2 linked regions of the Struthio camelus genome follow. Each later gene encodes a partner of the first gene's protein in a complex. Links are inferred from orthologs where the notes say so. Each region holds a gene or a part of one and is shown in the gene's direction. Other genes may lie near its edges.

Region 1 (15,046 bases):
TGTGCCTTATCTTTGGGAAGCAAGGGCTTGCTTGTGGTTGACTGTTCACCCAGGCACCCTCATTCTCAGGACGGGAGGCCTCACCGGTCCCTCCTGAGTTGTAGTAAGACTATGGAGAGAGCTAAGGATGCCAGAACACCAACACAGGGACATTGCAAAAGAGAGAGCGAGAGAGAGGTCGGAAGGCTCTTTGGCCAGGGCTGAACCGTGTCTGACACACTGCCACTTCGAATCTCTCTGCTTGCCAAAATACACAAAGGAAGGTAGGTTTCAACAACAAATAGCATTTCTGGTGGCCGGGCACAGTCATTCGCAGCCTGCTGGGGACTGTGGATGGAGTGCCACGGGGAACCAAGCAGAGCAAGAATCGGGCAGGATTCCTCTCTCTTGGAAAGAACTTTGAAGAATAAAATGGCAGAGATCTTCCTCCCACTTTCGCCTCCTCCCCGGCTCTCACAGACAGGCCTGGGACCTCTTGTGCTCTATGCTGGCACTTGAATGAGGGGACTCAAAGCAGGAGGAACACCAGGCTTTTGAAATCAGCCGTGAGCTCCTGCTCTGCAGAGACGAAAGCTGAACCCCAAAAGCTACAACTGTGACATCAGCACAGAAATGAACAGGCTTTTTTCCAAAAGGAGAAGTTTCGCCTTTCACAGAGCTTTATTTGCTGCATGCCCCTCACTTCCATTAACCCCTTCACTGCCCTGCTTATGCACATCTTTATGTGCGTCCTACAAAAACTGCAGGTTTGAAAGCAGACAGGTTTGAAAATTCAGTCAATGTATTTCTGGGTTTCAGCCACCTTACAGCTATTTAGATTTCTTTTTTTTCTTCAAAAAATCTGAGACTTCTGCCAGTAAACCCCAAGCAAGACAGTTTCTGTCTTAAGTCGTCAGTCTTTGCTACTTAGTAAAGCTTCCATTTATGCAGCTAAAAGAGGAGTAGATATTTTGCGGGCTGGTATCACTGGTAAAATGTGAACATAAGAAATAGCACTTTTATTAGTAGCCAGTGGAGTATATTTTCAACACATATGGTCAGATTCCCCTTCATCCATTGGGATCACACTGCGAATGACAGCTGTTTTCCACGCTCTGTTCCTCATGCTTATAACAAAGTAGCCACCTTCTGTGGTCATGGTTCAAGGAACAATCCTTACCACAGGGAAGCAATAACGCATGAGATCTCCGGGGTCAGGCCACTTTATTTTTCTAACTTCTAAGGTGCTTGGTAGGATCCATGTCTCTGCAGCTTGAGCCCATAGGATGCCACATCACATCATCCTAACAGCCACTGCCTGCGCTAGCCCCATTTTGAACTTATCCTTCTCTATCAAGGGTGATGAGAAGTAGCCGGTACTCCAGGGGAGGTCAAATCAGGACCTCGCATAGGGCATTAATACATTCTGATCTATGCTGGAATTGTCTTGCCTGGTGTAGCTTTGGCTAATGTTGGCCTTTTCCCAGTCACAACATAGTGGTAGTTTGGAGTCATCCCCTGACCGATCTAGGCACCCACATCTTTCTACTCTTCTGGCATTTCTAACCGAGATACTTCCTGCTGTTCCAGACATTGGGTCATCAGTTCATTTCATTAGCAAACTTGTTATTTTTGGGCTGGACTGACTAATAGAAATATTCAATGCTTCTGGTCTCAAGAGCAACCCTGGAGAACCACTTCTACTACCTCCCTCCAGCCCAAAGAGTTCCCCATCATTTAACCGCTTCTCACCCTCCTTTGGGATATTTCCATATTCACTTCACAGTCCCTGCACTAAACTCCATGTTCTACAGATGAATTACTAATTTCCCACTATCAAATGCTTTTCTACAGTCCTGAAAGTGAAGATTTTTTGTTCTCCCTCAAGGGGGAACTCAGGTATCCTCTCCTATTGTCTGGGCATTCACTACCCTTGGATGGCTATTGCATTTTTATCCCATTTGCATATTTTTTATCCCATTTATTTCAATTATCCTTTGCACCAAAACCTGTTCTGTCTGCTGATCAGGTCAGATTTGCTAGCAAATTGCTGCTAATCCTCTCCTTTCTTAACACGGTACACCAGTCTCTTTGCATGATGGTACCGTTCTCACCTCCAGAGAGGTATGGCCAAATATCTTCCTTTGGCCCCAGGACTGCAAGGGCCAAGTCTTGCACTTTGTGGTACTTTCCTATTCAGCTAGTCCTATCACCCCCTTAGTGAGGGCATGCACACGCACTGCAGGAGCAATCTCCTCCACCCAGGACAGAGTAGCAGCTCTGGCTGCTAGTGTAGGTACCCTGGCAGTGGATGCTGCCCGGTACTGGTACAGAACTGGTAAGCTCTGCACCAGCGATGGCTCCAGCTGGGCATCCCAGTAGCCCCAGCTAAGCGAACTCTCCTCTAAGAGAGGGCTCTGCAGGGGCAGAGGCTTCCAGCTCCAAAAATGAGCTCACTCTGCACAGGGAGCCAGATCCAGCCCTCTCTCCCTCTCTCTCTGCTTCTGACATTCCAGTCCCTGTGCAGTCCGATGGGTGAGGGCTGTGGGAAACGGCTGGCTGTTCTGGGCCCATCAGTTTTGTAGCCATAATTTCTCCAGCGACGTTCTGAAGGGAACCGGTCCTTCCAGGTTTTTAGTTTTGATTATTAGAATTTTTGTTTGGGTGTGTTTTCATGTTCAGAGGTGGACCCAAACTGGGGCTTTTACTCACAGCCCAGATCCCCAGAAGGGACACATGCCACAGCTTGGGCCCATCTCTAGTGCAATATCTTTCATTTGTAGACCATATTGTACTCAACAGCTCTTGCGTTGTTATCAGCACCAATATATGCATAATCCTACTGCCAGTCACTTTTTCATATGTGCCTAAGTATATCCCAGAAACTAATGTGACACGCTGGTGTCTCTTTTCATGTTAAGATGTGTCTCAGACTGATGTGTGTGCAGGATTTGACCCTTCTGTCCTTCTCGGTTTGCGCGTTCCTATTTTTTTAAGTGAGAGTGTCATGTTTAGTGTTTGTTTGCATCATGTTATGAAATCTAGAGCACAGTGGCCTTTACTTATAACTAGATTGTCTCTGTTCACCTGCCAAGGGGACTGTTGTGGAGTCCCGTGGGGATGAAAGACAGAAGTGCAAGGCAGATGTGCAGCCTGAAGAAAGTTAGCCAGAAGTGGGAAATGGCTCTTCCCCTTCTTCCCAGTCAGGGCTCACCAGCTCTCCGGGGTGGGGAGAGACAGCACCGCAGATACAGGGTACTGGGCAGTGGGTTAGATTCTGGCTGTGGGGGAAGTCCAGGGTCTGTCTGTGTAAAACTGGGCTGCTCTGGAGGAGGGGATTTCACAGACCTCTTCTTTTGGCGGCTTTTTCTAAAATGGGATGTCAACTAATGCAGTAAGGAGGCAAAGCCCCTGCTCCAACGCACAGGCGCTAGGGAAGGTCTCCAGCTGGGCTCAGTGCCTAGCTCGGATCCCAGGATCAGCATGGCCAGTTTGCAGGGCAAATTGCACAACCTCACACATGCCCAACGTGGACCGGAGAGCAGCAAGCTGCCAAGTCAGCCCTGGGGAGCCCAGACGCAGCCTGGGGTCTCTGGGGCATGCCCACATGGATCTGGATGCAGGAGAACTGCTCCAGTTTAGCCCAGGTGACTCTTGGAGAGATGGCTCTTCTTGCTGGACTGAGAGGAGGCAGGAAAGCCAGCTAGAGCTGAGGGCTGTGCTGGGAGGCCTGCAGTGCCCCACTCGTTCCTATCCTTTCCTCCTGTATGGAGCTCATCAAAGTTGCAAAGGCCTGAAAAACTCCCCAAAGCGTGCTCGCTGCCCTCTCCCCTCCACTGTGTGAACCAGCTGGGATCACACCGTTACTCTGCAGCTTCCCTGCCTCTACACTGTCTGCCAGAAACCATCCTGGGGCAAGGAAGAAAACAGAGTTCAGACTGAGGTACCAAAGAGTTAACATTCTCCTAGGTTTACAGATGTATTTGTAGGACTCGTATTATGTCACATCTATAGCCATGAGATATTATTTTTATGCTGTAAACTTTTACAAATATGTTTTTAAAGAAAAAGTTTAAAATTAAAGGTGTTTCTTCTTTTTGCAAAGTGTCGTCTTCTTCTTCGTTTGCCTGGTTTCGGCTGCTTCCACTTGCTCCCGCTCAGATGGGTTGGGCATACAGCTTAACCATGTCGTGGGTGAAGGCTAAGCACGTTAATACGCTGTGCATGACCCTAACGCTTAGCAGAAGCCAAGCTGGGAACCAGGCAGTGAGAAGCACAGCGAGGCAGCAGCTGAGCCCGGAGACGTGGTAAGGAGCAGGGGCTGCAAACAGGACAGGGTCTGCCCTGGCTATCTGGTAGCGGGCCAGCCTGTGGGTCACGCTGCGCTGAGTGGAGGTGAGTGGATGCAAGGACAGCTGAGCTATCAGAAGATGCACCAGCAACACGTACATCCTGAAACCCAGAGCTGGGGGTTTGGCCCAGCAGCCTTCAAGCAGGGCTTGCCCTCCTCCTGAGTCACGCTGCTGGGTCTGGGCTTGAGTCAGGATAGAGATGTGGGTCTGCCAGGCTGGAGCAGTGTGGGGTTGGAGGGAGGCGTGGGAACACCACAGTGCAGTTGATTTTTCTCCATAGTATAGTGGCTCAGGGCAGCGGGAGAGAGGGGAGCTAGCAATGAGAGCAGGGCAGCAGCAGGAGCCAAGCCGTGGTGCACAGAGCTTCTCTGAGCTGCATTCTCCTCCTCTCCTTCTGGAAGGTGCAATTACCCTTTAAAGATGAAACCCGCGAGTGCTGGTTCCCCACACTACCATCCCTCTCATCCCAGGTCCCTCTGTCTCTCCCCTTTCCTCCTGGTCCCCTCACCTTCCCCCAGATGCCACCAGGTAAGTGCTGAAGTCCCCCAAGCACACGGGAAACAGTTACCTCCCGGAGTCCGGCCCAAAGTTGCCTCCTCTCTGCAGCACCACTGAAACTGTTGCTCTCAAAAACTACCCCAGACTGCTGAGCAGAGCTGTTTGCAGCCAGCTCAGAGCTGCATGCTTGGAAAGGCTGAGGTTGCTGCACAAAGAGGATTTTGAACTGAGGCTCAAATATATTGACTTTGTCCCAATTTTCAGGCTGTGTGATGCAGCCCCAGCACAAGTCCTGGCCGGCAGCAGTCGTGCCCGTTTGCACAGGGATTTGTACACCCCAGCTCCTGGAAACCCTTTGTGTACCCCAAAGGCCCAAGGCACTGGCTGCAGCAGGCGACAGGTGCAAGTCTCAGCAAGGTTCTCCTTTCCAGCACGGCCTGTCCTGAGCTCCCATCTCTGCTTAGTTTGCTAGAGAGGAGGTTTGCAGGCTCCCTGACCAGCTCAAGCTGATTCTCCCCAAGTTTTGCTCTGGGTCACCTGGCATGGCTCAGCCGTGTCGGGGCATTTTTCTCCGGGACATGAATCAGCAAGGGAAAAAAATCAGCTCATCTCCAGAAAGGCTGCAGTAAAGGCTTGCAGAAAAGCAGGGAAGGGGGCTTGTTAGCTCTCAGATGAGAACCTGGCTCATTCCCACAGCCCGATTTCCACCCAGCAGGCCTTTTGCATGTGGAGACGCACCAAGAAGGAGTTGCTGGGAGGGATATGAGTAGCTGGACCCTGGGACCTCCAGCAAGACATTTTCTCCACCTGAAATAAGTTGCTCTCCTCTTTGGTAGTAAGCACATATGGTGAGACAGGCATCTTGTGTAGGAGCCCAGGGAAGCAGAGAAATTCAGATGGTGCCTTTGGAGACAAACATGGCCTGCTGCAGCAGTCAGGCTCCCCACAGCAGGACTTTTAGCTATTTGGGTACCAACAGCTGACTCAGGACATGGCTGTTTCCCACGTGCCCCCCAGCTGCTGCAGGGCAGGTGAGACAGGCAGTGATGCTGCAGATGGCTGTGCACAGTACAGGGGTCCTGCAGGGCTGCAACAGTCCAGCCCAACTCCCACCAGCCTGGAAATCAGCCTGGGCTCCAAGTGCTCACAACTCCTCTACCTTCTACAGCCAGCCCATGGCCAAACAGGTAGTGGGTAGGTCTCGTGCCATCTCCTAGCATGCCATCTTGGCCATGGAGGCCTCCACAAACATCCCTGGACTTCAAATGACTCAAAGTAAGGCTGTAGCTCCTCTGAGAGTAATGCTGCTTCTTGCTCCGAGCTGCTTGGGCACAGGAGCCCACCTGGGCTAACAGCATCAGCTGGCCATGCAAAGCGGGGATCTTCTGCATCAAGCTGGTCCTGTGCAAGCCTGGCACAGCTCTTATTACTGCTATGTCAACCCACTCATGACAACCTGGGGAAGGAAATCCTGAGCGGTAGGAGCTGTGCCCGCACTAGTAACACTCCAGTGGCTGAGTTGCCGCTTGCAGTCACAGAACTTGGAGGTGCTGCCCACAGGCAGGAAGAGACTGACCACCAATGAGGCAGGAAGCCCAGCAGACAGCCTGTCCCACCAGCCTGAGCATCCTCAGGTGTGCCCAGCCCAACTTGAGGAGCCATGTGCGCTGGCTGTGACTTGTCACCTGTAGACTGCTGCCATCGGAGAGGCTCTGTAAGGGGCTCCTCCAAGGCAAGAAGGGAGGCTGAGAGATTGTTTCCCTTCTCTGCTAGCAACCTGTCTGGTTTAATACTTGTTCACATGAGTGAGTCAGTTCTCTCTGAGCTGGCATTTGTTCCTGGAAAAAAAAAAATTAAAAAGAAGAAGGAGGGAAGCAAACATCCTTTAAAAAGTCCCTTTGGCTCAAAAGGAGGAAAGATAATCAGCCAGATATCTCCTGCAGCCCAACCACTCTCCAAGCCCCCAGCTCTGGGCAGGAGCCCCCCAACACACCACAGTGTCTCTGGTTCATGTCCTTCTTCCCCATGTCCTGCCAGGAAAAACTGCTGAGAGGAAATCTTCTGCAGCCAAAAGCTGCCGTTTCTTCTCTCTGGACTCCTTCGCTCCCTTGTGCTCTCCAGCCATCCCTCTGGCCAAAACCTAGAGCTCTCTCCTCATTCCCATGACTCTTAGTCATCTTCAGCACAGTCAGCCGTGCTTTCATCTCTTGGCCCGAAAGATATTGTCTTCCCGGTACCTCTCTAAGTGCCCCTTTGGAGAATCCCGCAAGCCTGCTCCCCTCTGATTTACAGAGACACGAGGAGGACTACTCCGTCAGGAACATTTGAGCTGTAAGTGCAGATTCAACAGCCACCTCTGTACAGACACTTCAGTAAACCCTGGGTCCTTCTGTCCAAATTAGGCAGCCCATCTCTCTGACACCTCCCTGCTGAGAGCAGACAAGCAGCTGTGGCTCCAAGCAGCTAATTAGGAGTTCTGGAGCACCCCAAGACCTCTTTCTCAGCCTGTGCTACCAGCTGGTGGTTGTAACTTCCTACCCCAGAGCTGTCACGACCCAGGTTGAACTTTTGCTGCAGCATGAGCTTAACTAGCATTGCAGCACAGGGCAAGGGGGACCCTGCACCTCCCTTGACCTGCTAACATTTTGCTGACCTGACCACCCCTTAGCGGGATGTTTTGCTTCAATCCTACTCTCACCCCTGATTTTAGAAGAGATGCAGTCCAGGAGAGGGTTAACAAAGCACCTCATTACTACTCCCAGGTGCCAGCCAGGTTGGCAATCAGAAAGCAGCTGCAAAAAGTCTCCCCACCAAAGCCGGCTCCATGAGGTGGATGAGCCCTGCAGGTGTGAGAACAGTGGGGCAGGTGGGAGATATTCCCTGGGGCCAGGGAGAAGGGTCCTTGGTGGAGCCTGCAGCCTGGCAGCAGCTCCCTGACCGCTGTCCCCTTCAATGGCTGCAGCGCTCTGGGATGGCCGTGTCTCTGCATGCTGCTGGCTAGAGAAGGGCCACAGTGTGGCCTCGTGAGGCTCAGGGCCACAGGGCCCTCTCTGCCCTGGGGTTCGTATCCTCAGTTGAAACCAAACTACTTGTTGTCCTTGTGAGCCTTTGCTACCTGGGAGCCACCTGGGGCTGAGCCCAAGGCCTTTTTGTGGACTTGCTGTAGAGGAGTGCTGCCCTGTGCTTGCCCTGGGGGCCCCTTGCTGGGCCCTACAGTCCCACCTGTATGGTTCAGGTTTGTCACTGATGACATCTCAAAACATCGCTTTTTTTTCCCCCTCTCCCCTCCCATTTTAAAAACAAACCGGAAAAAAAAAAAGGAATTTCTCAACTCGTGGTCAACTCAGAAAGGAGAACCTCCTACTGAGAGAGCGCTGTGGACAGTGCCTGTGCGGAGAGGCGCCTGCCGCCCGAGAGGGTCTCTTCAGCCACCTGCAGGGTCTTCTCTGCACCCCAGATCTGAGCTGGGGAGGTGCCACCGTTGCTGGGAAGATGGGCGCTGGCCTCCTGGTGCTACTGACTGCTGCTGGCCTCTGGCACGGTAGGTCCACAAACCCTCCAGAGCTCCCTTCTGTCGCTGCATCTCTCCAGAGTGGTTTTAGGATTTGGTTTGGGTTTCCTGAGGGTCCAGCATGAGCACAGATATGTGGGAGAACCCTCTTGTCCCAGCCCGTCCTTGGGTGAGATGGGATGATGGTCCCCCAAAAGCCCTGTCTGTGCTGGGGAAGGGGGAAATGCCACAGTTTGATCAAAGGGCACTCGGGTCCCAGCTGCAAAGGGCAAAGCTGGGCTCCCAATCGCATCTACACCAAGCCCAAAAGTGCTTGTGTGGGCCTGTGGGAGGGGATGTGGCAGATGGGCAGGTTCAAGGAGCCTTGTAGGAGGCAGATAGCAGGTGAGGGATGCCCACTCCGCAGCAGCACTTAGCTGCAGCGAAGAGACAACAACCAAGGCTGTAACACCTTTCTGAACCCCTTCCAGGGCTGGCTGCCATGCAGGAGGAGGGCAGTGGTGGAGAGAGGCTGTATCGTTAATCCATGTTGACTTTGGATCTCAACGGTGCTGAGGGCTCGCTTTGGCTCCCTGTTTCCCTGCCAAGAGAAGGCCAAGTGGTGTGGAAAGGATCTCAGCAGTAGGGAGAGAGGTGGATTGGGTCTGGGAGTGGGTTAGGAGAAAGAAGAGACGCAGCAGAAAGCGTGCCCCAAGGGAAGCTCTCTCTGGAAAAAAACATTTGCAAGAGCTGGAGATGCTTGGCCTACAGGTGACAAAAAGCTGGGACAGACACCTCTATCAACCCCTTTCAATGCACTTCCTGCCTGGTAGGAGAGAGGTGTCTGAGCACAACTGTTCTTTGGTGGTATTGGCTTGTACAAAAGGGCTGTAGAGCAAGGTGTTAAACCCTGTGATGGAAACTGAATTCAGGCAGCCAGGAGGGAAAGATGAATACAGCTGGTTTTTGAGGCTGATGAGGTGGCCAAGAGGCGATAGCTCATCGACCTCAAAAGTCACTAAGCCAGTTCTGAAGTTTGCAACCAAACACACAGAAATCAGCCCCTGCTGACCTGTGTTACTGATCTCACGTATCAAATACTTGCAGCGTCTCAGTTCTTGTGTCCCCCTTCCCACCATTCTCCTGCGGAGCAAGCTCAGGGACTGTGAGGCTCTGGTGGGCAAGTCTCCCTCAAAGGGTGTAATCTTGGAGGAAAAACATTTGGCACGTAGCAGGAAGACGGTGTTTCCCTCTCAAGCTGCTACTGTGTTCATATTTTCAGCTCAGAAACCTTGCATCCACCTTGCTATTGCACTGCAGTATTTCCCTTCAAGCCTCGTCTCCTACATGCTCAGCTGTTTCCAGGTCTGCTGTGCTGGGAGCTGGGCAGTGAAGACTGCAGGGTTTTGTCACTGTTCTAGTTCAGAGAGTCTGGTCTGAATTCCTTGTCGCGCTTGTTCTTGCTTCAGATCCCTTCCTTTCCAGCCCCTGCAGCTATTCCTGGACTCCTAAGGAGTAATTATGTCTTTAGCATCTTTGGACCCAATTTTAATTTTCAAATGTTGCTTCCTGATTCCCGGGTGGGACAGGGCACTGGAGCATCTTTTGTGAGACTCTCAGCAGCTTGATTGTTGGGGGGGACCGGGCACCTCTGATGTATGCATGTGACAGGTCATAGCAAGATCTGTCAAGATCTTGCAAAAGGTTTCCTAAGGTTCTGGGTGATGCAGGTCACCAGCCATGAAATCCTTGTGAGACATTTGTCTGTCATATCAGGGAGTTAGATACATGCTGTTCGCAGTGTCATGGCTCTTGGCCACCTCCAGCACAAAGCCCTGGCCTACTGAGGCTGTCTAAAGCAATCTCCTCAGGCTGAAGCTGGAGTCAGAGCTTGGCTCCTTTCTCCTTCCTTTTGGATTGTGGGTGCATGTTCTGAGCACACCCATGGCTGATGCAGTGTGACCCTTGGGACCTGGCTTCTCGCTGGGGAAAATGTCCTGCACTCAGATCCCAGCTCCAGATCAAGCAGAGGAAGGATTTGAAACCTGAGCATCCCACATCTGTGTTCTTGGCTATCTGGAGAGGTCTTTCCAGGGTTTTGGCATTTTTGTTGGGGATGAATCTAAGTCTCTGAGGAGGAAATCCCAAGCAGAGAAGGGCACCGAACCTTCTTCTCTGCCTCCAGGTACAGTAGGTGACTATCTCAGGAAGGTGTTCTCAGCCACCAATCCTCTCCTGTCATTGTGGGGAGAGCAAGAAGAGCCTAGGCCTAGTGCAGGTCCCTCCAAGGGCCAGATTCAGCCTATCTAGCCCCCAGGATCAAGTAAAGGGCCTGATGAATAACCTCTGTGCAAGGCTCCTGAGCCTCCAAGTCTTATTAGCCTCCACTTCTCCTTACTTGCCTCTTCCACACCCTCTGCAGAGGAGAGTTATGTTTTGGCTGTGATCAGAGAGGCAGGGACAGAGCCTGCAGCTGTTACTAGAGGTCATGGTTACACAATCCAAGTGTGGCAAAACCTTTGGCCAGCAGTTACCGGCAGTGCTGAGGAAGCTGCTGAGGAGCAGCAGAGACATCCTTGGGCTTCGTGCAAGATTGCACACTGGTCAGCAGGGAGCAAGCCTCCCCCAGCAGCCCTGCTTCCCCATTCTGGAGAAGGGGAGAAGGACCTCTGACTCATCTCCCATTGCATGCAAAGGAGCGGGCGCTTCGGGGGCCTTTACCTGGCAGGACCCTGCATTCAGTGTCCCTGTGCTCTGTCCTGTCCATCTTCACTCCACCTGTGCGGTGCTTTCGCCATTGCTAGGAGTCTTCAGTGACTGCCTGAAGGCTGCTGGCTTCTCCATTGCAGTATATTACGTAGAGTTAAGTACTCTGGGGCCTTTTCTGGCTACAAGTACCTTGGGAGCAGTTGGAGGCTGATAGCAAGGATGCTGAGTGACAAGACTCTTGTTTCTGCTCTACTGTTGTGGCCACGCTAAGGACCAGTTATAACATGGCCTTTTCCCAAGCCAGTCTGAATGCTGGAGCGAAGCTTTCCTTCACCCAGAGCTGCATCAAACTATGCTGAAGCCTTGGATGTAGAAGGATAGCCAAGGTGAAGAGCTGGCAAGGCAAAGTGTCCAGTGATAGAGAGTAAAAGCAACAGAAATGTGTCAAGCCCTGCTAGAAAACACAGCTTAGCAAAGAGGGAGGAATGTTGTACCTCAGATATGTGGAAAATGTGGCTTTGCAAAGGATTCTGGGGTATGTTTTTCTCCACTTTGGGAATAAATGAGGCTTTTCCTCTTTCCACAGACAGATTAAAAACATCACTAAAAAAAAACAACACTCAAGGAGATAAATCTCAAACATTCCATGCTGCCCGTCTCCCGCTTCCTCCCCCAGGGCCTGCAAGTTTGATTCAGGCCTTGTTTGGGTTTCCCCAGTGCAGCCGCATCATTGTCACACACCAGTAAAGCTCTCCAGGGGCTTGAGTGTCATGGAGCTCTGCCCTCTGTTGCATGGAGGGAGGCCTCAGCCCAAGACCGCTTCAGAGATGCTCTTTGGGCTCTGGCGTTACAGGCCTGAGCAGAGCCGGTAGGACAGGATGCACGTTTGCGCCTTGGCCATCCTGTTCCTCACCAAGTGAGGGCTGTGAATGGAGGTGGCTGAGGATGGGTGCATGCTGCTTCTGTCAACTCTGTTACATGGATGGTGTCCTCTGTCCAAGTGGCATCTGGGACTGCAGTGCTTTAAACAGTATTTGCTACTGCTGCCCATGCGCAACCAGCCTTCCTTGGCTCTCGTCCCTGCAGCAGACTTGGATAGTGAAGGGCTGTAACATCAGGCCGTTGCTCCGCTTCCCCTTGAGGACATGCAAATGCAGCTGGACAAATGGTGTCATCATGGGACACTTTGCCCTTTCCCACTTCCTGCCAGATTAGGGCCTTTATATTTGTTTGGACAACAAATGTTTCCACTAACAACCTTGTGAGCCCTTGTGAGTCGAGGGCTGTGTCTGCAGCAGAGTTTGATGCATTCCAAGGCCAAATTTGCCCCTTTTTTTCCACTGCCACCACCCCGGAGGAGCTCTGCTGCCTGCAGTGACCTACTCTGCTAAGAGCGGCTGGCTGATAACTTGGGCAGATACCTTTCTTCTTACTGTTATTTGAGCCGTAGTGTGTGTCGCTTTAAGATGTGAGGATGGGTTAGCAACCGGGAAGAAAAGCAGAAGTGGGAGAATAGCCCTGGATCAGGGCCGGAGGGGAGGGTGCAGAGCCCCCCAAACACAGATAGCCATTTGCAATGTGTTTCCTGTCCTCCGCAAAGGCCTGGCGTGGGGGTAGCAGTACCACTTCTTCCCTAGCCCCACAGTACTGATTCATTTCTCACTTCCCCCCACCCTATATATAGGTGGTGACTCAAAGAACTCGCTGATGCAGCAAAACAGGGAAAAATATTTCCCTCTGACACTGAGGGCTGGAGTGGGACTCCGGTTCCCCTTTATTCAGCCAGCAGAGAAGCCGTCTTCAAGGCAGAGGCGGCATCAGAAATCTGGCTGCATTGCAATAGCAAGTGACAGCATAGTCTGATACGCAGCGTATAGGATTATGGCTGTGGGCTTGCATAAACCATTTAGCTTTTACGTGCCTCAGTTTCCCACCCCTGAATATGAATAATAGTGCTGACTCGCTTCCTAATATATTGATGGTACCTGGGAGAAAAAGACACCGTCTGAAGGGTGCAAGGACACCTACGAGTCAAAATCCACTGCCCGGCAACCAAAAAAGGCAGGCTTCTCAAAGGACATGTACTGGACTTCTGCTCTGCAGAAGCTTTCCAGGCTGCTTCTAACTGATCACAGCACCAGCACGACAGAGAGAACCCCATCCACTGGCCTTGGCCTGAACTTCACCAAACGGCCGTGTAGGCTCACCAAACTCCTACGGTACCTTCTGCTCCACCACAAAAAGAAAACCTGGTGTGAAAAGAGGCAAAACCCAAAAGGAACAATTTCTAAGCTAGTACCTGGCCTAATCAGCTCCAGATGATTCTGTTTCCTTCCCTATTGCTCTGAACATTCAGATATGGCTTCATTTCCCTTCCCTGAATTTTACTCCTTGGAAGATCAGGTCACTGTATCAGGCTGGTGAGGTGGAGAATGGCTGGAGTGAAGTGACACTAAAAGCCTGTCTGCATCCCAAACTCAGTCTCTTCCCAAAGCTAAACTACTCCATGCTCAACAGTGTGAAATTCAGCAGAGCATCCTAAGGGATCATTTGCGTGTCTTCCCTCTCTCTCTTTTGTTTGCAGGCTCAGCATCCCCAGTGATCAACCCTGACACCCCTTCTCTGGTTGTCAATACTGGTGATCCAGTCACCTTGCACTGCTCAGGAGAATCTGAAGTTGAATGGTACAGCCAAAAGGATACATCCACCAACCACACCAGCAGCACACTCAGTATTCCCAAGGCCACTTACAGGGATACAGGCACCTATAAGTGTGCTTACGTCAACAGCAGCGACAAGGGCATCGCCTCTGTGCATCTGTTTGTGCGAGGTAGCTGTTGTTCTCTCCTCCTACATGTGCTGGAAGAATGGCTTCCTTTCAGGGATCAAAGCCATTACGCAGGTCCTCTGTATGGCTAAGGTTATGTGTGTCTGGGGAGAGTGCGGGCTCCTAGCAGGGCTGTGGCTCACCCACATACAATGGGGTCCATGACTGAAGCCTTCAGGTAAGGCGCAGAGCACCTACATCTTCTGCAGATGTATGAGTGGCATGGACCTCTTCCTCCATTTACCTTGGCTTCCCTTCCTGAAAAATAGTGTTGAAAGTCTGTTTTCTGTTGTAACACGCAGTGAGGTCTGGAAATCAGAGAAGAGGTATATTCTCAATATCCCAGATAGGAGGGAGATTCACATTAATCAATCCCCACCATGTGAGCTGAATCCTAAAAATTATTTCACCCCAGAAAGAGTTATGCCTGGGTAACTCCACCACATGAGTTCACCCCTTCCCTTGTACCAGGGATGCTGTCCTGCATAGGGAAGGTGAAGGTCTTTCTTACAAACAAAACTAACGCCATGATTAAAGGCTGAATAGTGCTAAACATGCTTCTTAATCTCTCTTGTCTGTGTGCATTCGTAACTTGCTAGCTCTGCTCTCCTCAACTGCCTTAGCTGGAATTGGCCTTGTATGAGTTTTGGAGGTTGAGTGAAGCAGGCATGAGGCAGGGCTGCTCCAACTCCCACTAAACAGCAATGCTGGAGAGGACTTACCTTTGCTGAAGTTTGTCTCTCGGCTACAACATATGCTTTCTGGATACAGTTCTCTGGCCTGTCTTGCCTCCTCCACAGATCCCAATAACGTGTGGTACACCCCAACTTTCCGGATCCTCGTGACCAAAGGCAGTAATGCTGAACTCCCCTGTCTCATCACGGCCCCTGAGTACGGATCCAGTGTGACTCTGACAATGGACAACGTCTCTCGCCTCTCACCAGGGACCAATTATTCTTTCAGTACAGAGAAGGGAATAACGCTATACAATGTGCAACATCATCAGAAGGGCCATTACTATTGCCAAGCAGTGATAAATGGAAAAATAAAGAAGTCCTCAAGAATAAGACTGATTGTGGAAGAAGGTAAGAGGCTGGGGTTGCTACCATCCTCAGGGGGACAGCAATAGCTCAGCTGGCCACAGTGGATAGTTAAGGAAAAGCTCCTGTCCAGAGGTAGGAAAGACCTTCT
Region 2 (14,774 bases), on another chromosome or scaffold:
TTTCTTTCCCCCCCTTCTCCGAAGCAGAAGCGCTGCCTTTGGGGCCCGGCACCCCGTGGGCCGACGGATGCCGTCGCCCTAACGAGGCGGCAGCAGCAGCAGCGGCGGCGGTGGCGGGGGGGGGTGAGGAAGTGAAGCGCTGAGATTGCCCGGGATCTGCCCCCAGAGCGATCCGCTGCCGGGGCAGAGAAAGGCAGAGCGGTTTTGGCTTTGCCGGCTGAACCTGCCGCTGGCTAACGGCCCGCTTCTCCGCAGTGTTTGCGCTCCGGCGGTTTCGAGCAGCTCAACCTGCAGCCGCTGCGGGCTCCCGGCTCGAGCCGGCGGCTCGGCCAGGCGGCACTCGGGCATCGCTCGCCCTGCCGAGGCCGCCACCTCCCGGGGCCCCGGCCCCTGTCACGTTCACGGGGAAGACTATTTTTTTTTTTTTTTTACTATTTTTTGTTTTATTTTCCTTCTCTGTAGCTGGAATTTCCCTTCCTGCGCTTGCCGTTCGGCCCTGGCAGCCGGGCGAGCGCTGCGGCCCCGGCTCGAGCCTCTGGCCCCGAGGTTCCCGCGCCGGGCGCGCCACGCCGGCGTCTCCCGCGGGGCGCGACGCCCCGTCGCTCCGCGCGCCTCGAGCCGAGCCCTGGAGGAACCTGCAGGTCGCACCGGAGCGGGACGGGGTCGGGGTCGGGGGGGGGGAAAAAAAAAGGACGGAAACCACAAACGGTTTCGATGCGTTTATTAGCCTCGGCGGCGTTTCCCCTGCCGGCGTTCCCCCCCGCGGCGGCGGCGGCCTTTCGAGGTGGCCGGGCGCCGATCCCGCAGCACGGGGTCCGTCACGGCCCGCTTTGCTGCCGGGCAGGGATGCCGTGCCCCCCCCCCCCCCCCGCTCGGGTTTCGGGAGGGGAATCGTGGCCGGGAGCCGGCTCCCCGCGACCGGCCTCGTGGCCTGGGGAACCGGGAGCGGAGCTGCAGCAAGTCGCGGGCTGCAAGGGCTCCGTTTCGGCTCCCGCCGCGGCGTCCGCGGGAGCCCCGGTCCCTGCCCGGAGCCGGGGGGGGGGGTGAAGCGAGGTGACTGCAGCACCCGGTCGCCCGTGGGCGACGCTCGCTGTCGCGGAAAGAGTGAGCCGTGCCGGCCGTGGGTCGCTCGCTCTCCCCCAGGAAAAACCAGGGGCAAAGGTTATTTTTAAATAGGATGCGTTTCCTCTTCTCCTTCCTGGCCGGGGGCACGTGGCGGTGAGGTCATGGAGAGCCTCGGCTCACGGACGTGCTTCCAGCTCCTCGCAATCGCCTCTCCGGGGCCGTTTGGAGAAATTCTTGGCCGGGTCCCGCTCGGCGGCCGGACGAGCTGCGGCGCGGAGGCCTTCTGCCCCGAACGCGCGGCGTTCGCTCGGTGCCCCTCCGACTCCGCCGTCCTCCCCGGGCCGAGCGACCACATCCTGAGCTCTCTATTTGCCCGGTTCCTACGGTCCCGCGGGCTTTTCCCGGAGCGGCTTCTCCAGCCCAGAGCCGCATGTGGCTTTGGATGGAAAATCAGAGCCAGATGTGGCTGAGCTGCTGCTTGTTCCTCCGAGGGCTGAGCCGAGCGGGGCCGGGGCCCGGGAAGGGTTGGGGGCGCCGCGGAGCCGGCCGGCCGGCAGCCGAAATCAGCAGGGGTTTGGCACGTTGCCGGTGACTTTGGAGGGGGCAGATGGGACCTTCTGCAGCCCGGCTCAGGGGCGAGAGGGGCACCCGCGGGTGCCGCCACCCTCGGCCAGGCAAGGCGGCGGCTACGGGTGCTCCAAACAGCCCCCCGGCTTCGGGCTGAGCAAAGCCTGGGTTTCGGCTGCGCGCCGGCGCCCCGAGCGCCTGCACGGCCGGGCGGCTTTCGGAAGAGCGGCTCGCGGCCCGTTTCCTTGCGATCCGGAGCCCGTCCGTATCCCGGGGTTGTTTCCCGGGAGCCGTCGTCCCCTGCGCTGCGCGCCGGCCGTCCCGACGGGGCAGCGGCGCTCGAGGGAACGGCCCCAATTTGGACGGCTGGAAAAGGCACGGGCGGCGCGCGGGGCGGCGCGGCCGGGCACGAGCGCCGCCGTCCCTCGGGGTGGGCACGGTCGCCGGCGGCGGCTGGGGCCGCGGTGACCCCGACGGCTCTGCCGGCCCCGCTCGGGGCGACCCGGCCCCAGCGCTAACCGCTCGCCGAGCAGAAGGGGCTGGAAAACTCTTGTGGTTGCTCCGAAATGGAGCCTGGCTACGCGCAGACCACACGAACCTCCGCATGCGACAGCAGCGGCCGGAGGACGAAATTCCACTGCATTATGTTTAATTATGAATGTCGGGGTTTTTTGGGGGGGGGGGCAGAGGGAGCCGCCTGCAGCTCGGGCTGCAGCGCCAGCCCCTTCCCCGGGGCTGGAAGCAGGACGGGGAAGGACGGTCCTGAGTCTTCGCTGCTGAGTGCGGCATAGCCCAAATTCGGGACCCGGCCCCCCCCCCGCCCCGGTGCCTAGAGCATCCCTGGCTCTCTCGGGCTGCCCATGCCCGTCCCCCACGGCGGACGACGATTGCTTTGCTTTTTAACCTGGTGGGGCTCCCGGGGCCGGTCTCGCGAGGGACCGTTGCACCAGCGGGGTTGTCCCTGGGGTGCGCGGCGGGAGCCGGGGGTACCCGCCACCGCCACGTCCCCCCCCCCCGCTTCCACCCGTCCCCGTCGGCACCCCAGGGGCCGCGGGGCGGGAGCATGGGTGGAGGCGCAGCAGCGCGGGCCAAGATGCATCAGCTCGTGTTTTTCTGGTAGCGGCTGAAGGTTGTTTTCCCCGTTCCCGGGATGATACAATGCTCTTGGCGTAGGTGCACGTCCCAGCGGCCGGGCACAAACCGCGCCGCTCCGCTCCCGCTCGCTCCGGCCCGGCGACGGCGAGGAGGAGGGTTTGGAGGGCGAGCTGAGCCGCTGTGCCGGAGAGCTGCTCCCGCCAAGGCCCCCCCGGGGCTCAGCCCCGCTTTCGGCACTGGGCAGCGGCGGGGAGCAGAGGAGGAAGGAGCCCCGTGGAGCCGGGGCGGCCGAGTGCGAAACGCTTCGCCTGCTCGAAGGAGCAGCAAACGGCGCCGGCAGCTTGTGGCCCCATTTAAAAAAAAAAGAAAAGAAAAGAAAAGGGGGTGAATGCACCAAAAATCGGTGCCTACGGAGGCGGGTGAGGCTGTGTCACCCCTTCGGGCCGGGCTGCTCGGCTCCCGCCGCGCTCCCCTTGCTGGGCCCAGCGTTTGGGGAAAAAGGGGAGGAAAAAGGTGAAAGCATCCGGCTGGGAAATCTCCCGGGAGGAGCGAGGCCACGGCCACCGGCACGGGCCCGAACGGAGGCCGGAGTCGCGGCCAGGGACGGGAAAGGCCAGATTTACCGTCGGCGTTCGCCAGGGGAGCGTGGGAACGGCCACCATGACGGCGGCTCCTGGCCGAGACGTGACGGCGAGACCGCGCGCGAGCCGGCTGCTTTTCGATCCCGCCGTGTCCCCTCTCGAGACGCCGGAAACGCCAGGCCGGAGACACCGTCGCTCGAAGCCGTTTGGCTCGAAAACCGCTTCGAATCAAACCGAGCGGGTCGCGTTCGGCCGGGGAAGGGACCGGGGGGGGGGAGTGATGCCTCCGGGCACTGCCGGGCTTTTCCGGGGTGCAGAGCCCGGGTCGGGGGCGGCCTCCGGCCACCGCCTCGGGACGGGGTCCGGCGCTCGGCTGCACCCCTAAAGGACGGCCGAGCGCCGCATCCCGCGGCCGGCCGGCCCGTGGGCTCGCTCCGCTCGCTGCCTCCGGCGGCAGCCGGGCCGCGGCGGCGGCGGCACAGAGCGGGACCAGTCGCTGATGTAAACAGCCGCGGATAAACAACCGGCTCGGCCAAGGAGGACAAACGGCTCCTGTGTTCGCCGGCGGAGCGGTCCCCGGCCCTCCCCGCGCCGCCGCAGCATCCCCGGCGCTCGGCGCGCCTCCCAGTGTCCCCCCCCCCCCGCCCTTGCCTCCGTCCCCATCCCGTCCCCATCCCTTCGCGCCTGCTCGACGCCGGCGTTTTGCCCCAGGTTGGCCCCATCCGTCGGCCCGTGCCGGCAGCGCCCGGATGCGCTTTACCCGCGCTCCGTCTTTCGGCCGCCCGGCTGCTCCCGACGGTGGCACCCGCGGGTGGCCGGGCAGGGGACAAGGACGTTGGCCCGCTCGGGGCTGGAGCCGACCCGCAGCTCGGTGGGGACCCAACCGGGGTCGCGGCGCATCCTCCGTGCAACCCCCTTGCCCGGCTCGCCAGCATCGCCGGTCGCTCGTGGCCGGGGGGGGGGGGACGCGCCTGGCTCCTGCGGGGAGGAGACGGGCGCTTTTGGCGGCGCGGCTCGCCGCGGGGGGTGAAGCGTTGGACCTTTACCGCGGGCTGTTCCCGTGCCACCCTTGACGGCCCCGGGGCCGCCCGCATTCCTCCGCTCCCTTAGGAAAACCGGCTCGGGGCTGTCCCGCGGGGATTTCCAACCTCGGCACGCATCCCGCCGGGCTGCCGGCGCGGCCTCGGAGAGCCCCGTCCCGCTCCGGGCATCACGCGGCCCCCGGCAGCCGGGACCCCGGCCGGCCGCCGAGCCGCGGGGCTGCCCCCGCTCCAGCCCACGCCAGGCGGAAAAATCCGTCTGCCGGCTGCTGATTTGGGCCGGGGAAGGGCAGATCGGAAAGCAAAGCAGAGCTGCATGCCGACTCTCTCCCGCCCGGCCAGTGAATCAGCGGGGAAGGAACTGATTAAGAGCTCGCAGCACTTTCTTGCTGCAAATAACTTTCTCTGCGCTGCGGCGAGGCCAAAATTGGGTTTTTTAGGAAAGGGCCGTTTGCAGCGCGAGGCCCTTTGCCGAAGGGGCCAGCGCGAGCGCCAAGCGGGGAAGGTCAGCGGCGCCGTCGCTCTTGGCTGCCTTTCTGCACTCCCCCCACCCCAAATTCGGCATCGCTCCGAGCCGGCCGCTGCCCACCGGCCCGGCTGCTCCCGCTGCAGCGCGAAGCGGGCTCGCCGGTTCCCCTGCGCCTCGGCCCCGGGACTTCGGGATTTCGGCAGGTTTTGGAGGGGAGCAGGGGCAAAACCCGTTTGCTGCCCAAATCGAAGAGCCGGCGGCTCCGCAGCCCCCTCGCTGCCCTCATCCGTCCCGCGGAGATGGTCCCATGACTCTTGGCCGTGACACTTTTCCGGTCACTTAAAGGCAGGCGGGGGATGAGTGTGCCGGAGATAAGCGAGGAGCGGGGCCGGCCGGCCGCGGGAAAGGGGCCCCCGCGGCCCCCGTGCGGCGTCCCGTGAGTTGCCCCGCCGCCGCCTGCCCTCCCAGGACAGCTCATCCCGGAGCGGCTCGAGTGGAAAATGTATATGAACCGCGAGGCGTTGCAAGGGGGAAAGGGTTTTTTTTTGGGGGGGGGGGTTGCAAATTGTTTTGAACCCCGGCATCCTTCCTCCTCCATCAGCAGCATTTAGCCGAGCGCTGGGGGGGGGGGGGGTCAGGGCCACCCGCGCGCTCCCGTCCCCCAGGCAGCTCCGACGGCGCTTATGGGACGTCCCGGCTGGCACCCAGCTCGGCCCCTTCCTCCGCCGGCCACTTCGGCTCCGCTCCGCGAAAAAACGCCGGCAGTTTCGGAAAGCCGCTCGCCGTTTCCGGCCCCGCGGAGCAGACACCGGCGCTTCGCCGGAGCTCGCCTCGCTCGGATGTGGCTCTGGGCGCCGGCGGCGGTCGCCGGCGCTGGCGGCCCGTTTCGCTCGCCGCTTCCCCATTCGGGGTGACGAAGGCTTTGCAAGGAAACGGTTTGCCCCACGGCGACTAATTGTTTCCAGTTGCCTCCAAACAAGCAGCAAACAAACAGGAACCCTCCCGAAAGCAGAGAGAACGTGGCGCGTTGCATCATGCAAGCAACGCTGGTGGTTTCACTGTGCCCCCCGCCTTTTGGGTAGCGACGCGTCCCCCTCGCTCGCAAAATTAGCCCGGTCCTGTTTCACCCACGCAAACGGGGCTCCCCGACCCCGGGTGACCCGTGCAGGCGCCTGTGTGCGTGTGGAGCTGTTCATGCACGCCTGTACACACGGCTCTGTTCACGCACACCCATGCACACAGATCCATGCATGCACACGCACACATGGCTCTGTTCACGCACACCGATATACGCAGATCCATGCGTGCACACGCACACACGGCTCCGTTCACGCACATCCACGCAGGCGGATCCATGCACACACGGCTCCGTTCACACACACCTATGCACGTGGATCCATGCACGCACACACGCGGCTCCATTCACGCACACCCATGCAAGTGGATCTGTGCACGCACACACACACACGGCTCCGTTCACACACACCCACGCAGGCGGATCCATGCACACACGGCTCCATTCACGCACACCCGTGTACGTGGATCCATGCACGCACACGGCTCCGTTCACGTGCACCCATGCAACCGGATCGGTTCCTGCGCAGCACAGGGATCCGCTCGCGCCTCCTGGCCGTGCCCGCTCTCTGCACGCATCCCTGCCCAGCACCCAAAGTAGGAGACACGGCCACCGGAGCGGCCGCTGCGGGAACGCCTTGGGTTTTCTGATCAGCTTTCTCGCCCAGACGGCTCCGTTTCTGCCCCGCTCGAGCCCGATGGCACACACCGAAGCCACCGTCCAGCGCTCGCCCGAGCGCGCGGGCTCCCGCTGCCCGGATGAGCGAGCCCCGGTGAACCCGCAAGCGCAGCACCCTGCCTGCCGGCCCAGCCTCCCCGGTCCCGAATCTCCTCGGACCCTCCGCACCGCAAAAATGTTGCTCGAGGGCATTTCTGCTGTGATGGATTGCAAACGGCGGTGGGTTCGGGGAGCTGAGGCCAATTTACTGGCAGGGAGCAGCCCTTCGGGGCACGTGCTGCGGAGAGGAAGGGTATTAAACCAGCGCAGGAGTTTCTGCAGGACAGCTTCTGACGTGGGGTAGGATTAAGGCACAAAGTCGCTTTGCACTTTGCAATGCCAAAAAGGGGGTTTGAGATGCTGTGGGCAGAGTAGCTGCAAGGGGGTGAAGTCGCAGCTGGTGAGGGAGGCTCAGCACAGCAGCCGGCCCCGGCGGGAGGCAGCGTCCCTGGCGCACGGCGCTGCTTTTGAGGGAAAAAGGGATTTTTTTTTCTGTAGGAAGAGATCTGGGCCTGGCTGGATACCGTGGCGCAGGCATGCAACGGAGGAGCAAGGCCAGAGAAGGGGATGCCCAGGCTGGGTAGGCACGTGTCTGCAGACTCGCGCCGCTGCGGGACTGTGCGTGTGTCAGTGCTGCGCACAGCCACGCATGTCTTCACGGCCACGCGTATGCATGTGGGTGTGTGCGGGCAGGCGCCTATATTTATTTGTGTACAAACATAGATGTGTAAATGTCAGGGTGGATATACGTAACGTACGTGCGGGCATGGACAATCAAGTGGTTGTACAATGTATATGCAAGTGTGTGCACACATACGTGTCAGGTACGTGCGTGCACACACGTGCTACGTCCATGCGGGTGTCTGCGTATCTGTGCGTGTATGTGAGTGCGTACGAACGTGTGTGTGTGCCTGCCCGCACGGGTGTGCACACCCCCGCACCTGCGTGCAGGTGGTGGTGGGGGGTCTGTGTGCATGCGTGTGCATGGACACGTGTGTGCGCATTTGTGTGCTTGCCTCTGTGCGTGCATGGGGTATTTGTGCGTGCTTGTGTGCACAGCTGTGTATACGTGGGGGAGTGGATCCATATGGGTGTGCATGCACATGGGGACCGTGTGCACACACGTGCACCTGTGTGTGTGTGTCCATGGGGATGTGTGTACTTGAGTGTGTGTGCGCGCACACATGTAGGGTATGTGTGCACACAGATATGCGGGTGCATGCACACAAACACGTGCACATGCACGCACGTCCAGGCGCGGGTGCTGGGGGCTGCGCACCCACGTATGTGTGCATGTGTATGTGGCCACGGGTGTGCGTGCACCCACGTGCGCTTGTGGGCATGCATGCACGCAGGTACACGTGGGGGGAGGTTTGCATGGATCCATTCGTGTGCTGTGAGTGCCATGTGCCCACTGAGCCGAGCCCAGCTGAACACAGCCGAGCCAAACCGATCCGAGCTCTGCTGAGCTGAGCCAAACTGAGCTGAACCAAGCCGAATTGAGCTGAGCCAGATCCAGCCAAGCCAAGGTAGGCTGAGCTGAGCTGAATTGAACCAGGCCGTGCTGTGCCGAGCTGAGCAGAATCAAACCAATCTGATCCGAATCATACTGAGCTGAGTTGAGCCAAACCCAGCTGAGCAGAGTTGAACTGAGCTGATCCAATCCAAATTGAGCTGAGCTGAACTGATGTGATCCGAATCGAGCTGAGCTGAAACGAAGTGATCTAATCTGATCCAAAATGATCTGGTCTGATCCGAGTCGCACTGAGCCAAGCCATACCCAGCCCAATCGATCCAATCTGATCCAAGCTGATTCGACCTGTGCCGAACTGAACCCAGCCCAACCAAGCTGAGCTGAGCTGAGTTGAACCCAGTCCAATCGAGCCGAGCCGAGCCAAACCCAGTCCGATTGATCTGATCAAAGCAGCGCTGATCCAATCCAAGCCAATCCAAGCCGAGCCCAGCCGCGCTGGTTCGATCCAATCCGAGCTGAACCCAGTCCAATCGATGTGATCCAAGCAAATCCGATGTGATGCGAGCTGAGCTGAACCCAGCCCAAGCAATTGATCCAAGCCAAGCCGAATCCAGTCCAATCGAGCTGATCCGAGTCGAGCCGTGCCGATCTGAGCTGAGCTGAACCCAGTCCAATCGATCTGAGTCGATCTGATCCGATCCGAGCTGAACCCAGTCCAATTGAGTCGTGCTGGGCTGAGCTGAGCCAAGCTGAACCCAGTCTGATCAATCCGAGCTGAGCTGAGCTGAGCTGGGCCGAGCCAAGCCAGGCTGAACCCAGTCCGATCGACCTGAGCCGAGCCAAACCAAGCTGAGCCGGGCTGGGCTGGGCTGAACCCAGCCCGATCAATCCGAACCGAGCCGAGCTGAGCCAAGCTGAGCCAAACCCAGTCCAATCAATCTGAGCCAAGCCGAGCCGAGCCGGGCTGAGCCAGGCTGAGCGGAGCAGGGCTGAGCCAAGCCGAACCCAGTCCGATCCATGGGAACTGAACTGAGCCTAGTCGGGCCGGACCCAGTCCGATTGGTCTGAGCCGAGCCGAACTGAGCTGAGCTGGGTTGAGCCGAGCCGGGCTGAACCCAGTGCAATCGATCTGAGCCAAGCCGAGCCAAGCCGGGCTGAGCCAGGCTGAACCGGGCGGAGCCGAGCCGGGCGGAGCGGAGCGGGGCGGCGGGGCCGAGCCGAGCGGAGCCGGGCGGAGCCGAGCGGAGCCGGGCGGAGCCGAGCGGAGCCGGGCGGCGGGGCCGAGCGGGGCTGGCCCGGCGCCAGCCCTTTCTCATAAACCACATGCTGCCGCGGCGCTATAAAGGGGAGCGCGGCGGCGGCGGCCGCTCAGCCCGGCCCCGCTCGCCGCCTCGTCCGCACCGCCCCGCACCGCCGCGCCCGGCCCGGCCCCGCGGCTGCCGGCAGCCCCCATGCCCCGCCTCGGAGCCAAGGTGCGGCGCCGCCCGGGGGGGGCCCCGGCTTTGGGGGGGGGGGGGTTGCACCCGGTATTGGCGGGGGGGACAGGCATGGAGGGGGCACCCAGCATGGAGACGTGCAGCACTGGGGGGGGTGAGCACTCAGCTTGGGGGACACTGAGCATGGGGTGGGGGGTCGGGCATGGAGGGGGCACCCTGCTTGGGGATGTGCAGCACTGGGGGGGGTGAGCAGCCAGCTTGGGGGACACTGAGCATGGGGGGGGGGTGCACCCAGTATTTGTGTGGGTGGGTGAGGGGGAGGTCAGGCACCCAGCATGGGGAAGGGGGTACTCTGCCTGGGGGGCACACCCAATATATGTGTGAGCAGGGCATCAAGCTTATGGGGCACCCGTCTTGCCCATCCCTCTGTCTGTCAGCCCCCCCACCTCCTGCCTGTTTTGGTGGGGGGGACACGGTGGGGACCCCCAGAGTGGCACTGTCGCCCTGGTGGGGTGAGGCTGGAGCCTGCTGCGGTGGCCCGGCCGGCATCTGCTCTTTCACAAGACGGGAGAATTTCTGGGCTCCCTCCAAGGGAAATTCCCCCTCTCTCTCCTCCCAGTGCCAAGAGACACTCTCGGTGCCGGTGCTGTGAGAGATGCATCTGCAGGGTTTTCCTGCCCGAAGGGGTTTCCTGCACCCCTAGCTCTGGCTTGGGGCAATTTGGGCCTGGGTCTGAGGGATGGGAGGAGGATTCGGGGTGGAGGGGGTCTGCCGGGAGCCCAGGGAGGAAAAATAGCAGGAGAGATGGAAACGGTGCAGGAAAGGGGCCGAGAGGTCAGAGCGAGGGCTGGAACGTGGGATGGGGAAGTGGAGGCGCCGAAGGAGCTCGGGGCTGTGCCGGTCCCAGCGAGAGTTGTGTCCGGGCTTGCGCCGGCCAACTCTCGACCCGGCGCGCCCAAACGAAAAAAAGACAAACCCGGAGCAGGGTTGTGGGGGGGCCGCGGCGGGGTGAGCTCGTGCGGCTGGGTGGGACGCTGCTGCGGGACGCTGCTGCAACCTGTTGCTCTGCTGCCTCCAGGTGTGCCTGCTCCGCTGCACCCTGCTCTCGTCCCTCCTCTTCCTCCTCGTCTGCAGCATCCATGAGACAGAGCAGAACAGCTACTGCCAGCAGATCATCACCCAGAAGCACCTGGCCGAGTTGCAAGAGCTGGTGAGTGCCGTCCCGCTGCGGGCCCTGTTGCACCGGGGACGCTGGCAGGCTCGGCCCGTCCCCTGCTGAGCACCCGCTCCGGCGCCCGAGCACCCCTGGGCGCGCTGGCCGGGGAGGTGACCCGCCACCGTGCCTTTTGCCAGGGTGGCCGCGTCCAAAGGCTGGTAGGAAGAGCAGAGGAGAAAGCGGCGTGAGTCAGTAGTAGGGCTGGAGGGCGAGAAACAGGGCAAGGTTGGGGGCACCCGGCGGTGGGTGCTGGCGAGGAAGGACGGATGCGGGGAGCCGGCGCTGGCGGCGCAGGGGTTAACGTGAGGAATCCGGCTGCATTCCTGAGTCCAGCTGCTTGCCTGGAAGCTGGGCTGGCAACGGGGCTGAGGGTGGGTGGCAGGCGGCGAGGGGGGCTGCCGGAGCCAGCGGGGCCAGGGCGACAGGCGCCTTTGCCCTGCGTGCCTCCGGGGCAGCTCCCAGCGCTTCGGGGCAGGATGCAGAGGAAATCCCTGGCCCCTTCCCAGTTCCCGTGTGGGCCGGGAGCAGGCTCACCTCCACCCGACGAGCAGGAATTACATGGCTGTGGTCCTGATGCTCAGAGGAGAAAGCAAAACTGGGGATGCACAGGGTTTTTTTTAAACTTATTTTTATTGCTGCGGAGACATGTGTATGGCAGATCAAATTCAGCTTTTGGAGCAATGTTTGCTCTTCAGCTCTGGGGGTGTGTGGGTGAGCTGTTAGTGATGCACTTTGAATCCTCACTTCTTGCTCGCTTGCACCGAGCTCCCCAGGGCCTTGCAGCCGCTGCGTGCCAGCGTACAAACCGCTGGGTCTGGCCTCGCCGTACCTCTTCCTCTTTAAGCGCTCTGCTGCGGTGCCAGGAGCTGGCAGATGTCATTTTTCCAAGCTTGGCTTCCTCCGCCCGTCACGCCGGCTGCGCGCGGGCTGCCCTCCAGCTGCCTGCCCCACGGCTCCCTGCACCCTCTTCCCCGTGAAGCCTTTTGCAGCCCCGCGGCGATCCCGAGCGGGCGCCCGTTGGGGGGTGATCGGGATGGTGCAGGTTTGAAGAAAAGTTGTGGTTTCCCTGCCGGAGATTGCAGCCCTCTTCCTCCTGCATCCTGCAGAGGCGTTTGCGGAGGAACGGGCCCTCGCTGCAGGCCGGCCAGATAATGGAGCAATTGTTTCCAGGCCGACGCTGCTCTCCTGGCAGCCGGCGCACTCCCCGCCTGGGATGCAGGCCCAGAGTTATGCTCCAGGGCCTGGAGCACGGGGTTTGTCAGGAAGGGAGTTTTGGGGGTTTTTCCCCTTCCTCCCCTCTTCTGCAATTGGAAACCGTTGCGGCATGGGGGTCTGCGGGACTGTGGCGTTGCACAGAGCGCCGAGGCGGCGCGTGGGCTTGCACGGCCTCGGTGTCGCTCCCGGCGTGCCGGATGTGTCTTGGCCACGGAGCGGGAGGCCCCCGGTGCACGTGGCTGGAGGCCACAGGGCAAGAAGCAGAAGCAGGTCCCTTCGCCTCTCCCACCTATGTCTGGGGAGGAGGGTGCAAGCGGGTGCTCCTTGGGGCTGCGCCGGGAGAGCCGCTCTCGCGTTTCCAGCCCCGGGCAGGGCTGGGCTGTTGGGATGGGAGGAGGGAGGCAGGGAGCCCCTGGTACCTGCAGCCCGCACGGCGGGAGGAGGGAACGTGCTGCTCTTGCGGGAGATCTGGCCTCCCCCTGCTGCAGGTTGGACCTTAGGGAAGCGTCTGTGCGGCGAGGAGGAGGATGGAGCGGGATGAAGCAGGGGCTGGAGGTGCAGTGTGGGTTTATCTGCTGAGCTCCAGACTTGTTGAGACATCCGTGGCGGTGCATGAGCAACACCCCTGTCCGGCCACGTTTGTCCCCCGGTGACGGGGGCTGAAGCAGGGGGTCGGGCGCACTCGGGGTGACTCCCTGCTCTGTCCTTGCAGGCTGACACCCAGATGCAGCATCCAGGCAGGGTCTCCTTCAGGTTCATCGATAAGGTGCAGCTGGTGAGTGGCTCCTCTTGGCACCGGGGAGGCAGAGGGGTCCCCAGGCACTTTGGGACATCCGTATCGGGGTGCATCTCTCCCCCCTCGTCCCCGTCTCCCTTTTGCCATCAGTCCTCCCCCGCTTGGCGGGAGGCAGCACATGCGCGTTGGCCAGGAGCGCCCTGTCCCGCCTGGCCGCACGGCTGCCGAGTCTCGCCTCGGTGGGTTGGATTGGGACGCCGGAGATCTGGGCTCAGGGCTGCCCGCCCCAGGCGTTTCGTGGCTCCGTGCCTCAGTTTCCCCCCCCAGCAGGCCAGGAGGTGCAGCACTCCCTTTGCCCAGCTGGTGACCTGTCGGCCTTTTGGGGGGGGGGGTCTCTGCCCTGCCAGGACGACCCCGTTTGCTACGTGAAAGCCGCCTTTCCCCTGCTGGGGGAGATCCTGGGGAAAACGGAGTTCAAGGAGAACTCGTCCAACGCCAAGAAGCTGCAGACGGTGCGCCGCATGTACAGCCGCATCGACGAGAACGTGGACCCCTGCATCAGGGAAGAGGATGACGAGGAGAGAGAGGTACGGTTGTCTCTTGGGTCCCCCCCCCCGCCCTGCCGCGGGGGACGTGGATCCAAACCCTTAACCGTGGCTTTGGCACGCAGCCACCCTAAATGCAAAGGGGTGCTGGGGACCGGCAGGGTGCGGGCGCTGTGAGATGTGGGGTGAAACAGGGTGCTTGGGGATGGAGGACATGGAGGGGGGAACCCCCCCCCCACCAGCTGGCCCACACTCCTCTCCTAGCTGCAGGTCTTGGGCCAAAACCTTGCCCCAGATGGGACCCGTCTACTGGTGGCTCCTGACACCTGTCAGTGGGTCCAGCTCCGTGCCACCGGCCCCGAAGGCGGAGGGTAGGGGCGCGCGGGTCGGGAGCCGTGCCTGCCGGGCGCCGCTGAGCCCCGCTCTTCCTCCAGCTCTCGCAGAAGTGCTTCAGAGAGTTCACCACGTCCCCCTACGAGATGCTGGCGCTGGTGAAGCAGTTCTTCCACGACATCGACCTGCTGCTGCAGACCAAGGAGACCTTCGAGAAGGACTGCAGCCACGTGTACCGGAAGGTGTGCCTGGAGCCCGAGCAAACCAGCTCCCCGCTAGGTAAGACGGCGAGGCTTCGCCTCCGCCCGGCAAACCCCGGCGCGGCGCCGGCGGCTCGCCTGCATGACGCAGCTTTACGGCCGTGTGTCTCCGTCCGCGGGCACACGCGGGTAAACGCGGCCACGGCCCGTGTCTGCGTTGGTACCTGTCTCTAGGCTGCTGTGTGTCGGCAGGCTGCGTGTCTTCGTGTGGGCACCCCGGGCAGGTCCAGAGAAGGGGCTGACCAGCCTTTGAGGGATAAGAACCTCTTTTGAGAGGCGGATTTGGGCCGCAGCCGTGCTAGGGCAGGAAACCTGCCTGGAATAAGGCCGGCGAGAAGTACCGAGGGGGAATAAGGAGGCAACTCCGTCGGCCCGGCTGAAGGCATCTGGCTTAGCTTCCTCTCCAAAGCCACCGACTTGCTGCATGACCTCGGCCGAGTCGCATCAACTGCCCCGTGCCTCGGTTTCCCCCGGCCGGCCCCCTGGAGTAAAAGCCCACAGGCTGGCGCGAGGCTGAGCCCGCGAGGAGAGCGTTGGCCCGCCGGGGTGGAAGAGACTGTCGCTGCCCGTGCTTTTCTTTTTTTTTTTTGGCGAGCGCCCGTGCTGCGTGTTTGCATGCCGGCCGAGAAGACGGCCTCGCCTGTCGTCCGCGCTGCCGGCGAGCCGGCTCTGTGCTGCGTCTTGTCGCTGCCCCCCCGGGCACCGCGGGGACTTCAAAGGCGCCTTCCCGTTGACGGGGCTGCCCGGCTCCTGCCAGCGATGCCGAATCTTGGATGACCCGTTGCCGCCGGCTGAGGGGAGCCGATGATTTTGGCCTTGCCCGAGGGCTGCTGCGCGCCGTCTGTCCGTCCGTCTGTCCTCCCCTTCTCCCCGAGGGCTGCTGCGCGCCGTCTGTCCTGCGTCTGTCTGTCTGTCCTCCCCTTCTCCCATCGCCTGCTCTCGCTCCCACC

Evidence for each region.
Region 2: the proteins of CSF1R (region 1) and CSF1 are in contact, whole or in part, in a crystal structure (PDB 3EJJ), measured with the Mus musculus proteins. The link is inferred for Struthio camelus from reciprocal best matches to the Homo sapiens genes CSF1R and CSF1. Residues at the interface, in NP_001032948.2 of Mus musculus: Arg142, Arg146, Leu149, Arg150, Lys151, Lys168, Val169, Leu170, Ser172, Asn173, Val231, Gly232, Phe233, Leu248, Ser250, Asp251, Phe252, Asp254, Asn255, Tyr257, Lys259; in NP_001107002.1 of Mus musculus: His38, His41, Met42, Gly44, Asn45, Gly46, His47, Phe87, Gln90, Asp91, Asp94, Arg98, Asp101, Glu110, Arg111, Gln113, Glu114, Leu115, Asn117.

What each region holds. Positions count from the first base shown.
Region 1 is NC_090954.1:7,293,800-7,308,845, reverse strand, and holds the start of CSF1R (macrophage colony-stimulating factor 1 receptor), read left to right. Parts: upstream 1-8,155; 5' UTR 8,156-8,321; coding exon 8,322-8,370; intron 8,371-13,612; coding exon 13,613-13,858; intron 13,859-14,655; coding exon 14,656-14,940; intron 14,941-15,046. UniProt on the Homo sapiens protein: Tyrosine-protein kinase that acts as a cell-surface receptor for CSF1 and IL34 and plays an essential role in the regulation of survival, proliferation and differentiation of hematopoietic precursor cells, especially mononuclear phagocytes, such as macrophages and monocytes.
Region 2 is NC_090965.1:4,262,762-4,277,535, forward strand, and holds the start of CSF1 (macrophage colony-stimulating factor 1), read left to right. Parts: upstream 1-9,450; 5' UTR 9,451-9,534; coding exon 9,535-9,555; intron 9,556-10,597; coding exon 10,598-10,729; intron 10,730-12,662; coding exon 12,663-12,725; intron 12,726-13,093; coding exon 13,094-13,273; intron 13,274-13,665; coding exon 13,666-13,843; intron 13,844-14,774. UniProt on the Homo sapiens protein: Cytokine that plays an essential role in the regulation of survival, proliferation and differentiation of hematopoietic precursor cells, especially mononuclear phagocytes, such as macrophages and monocytes.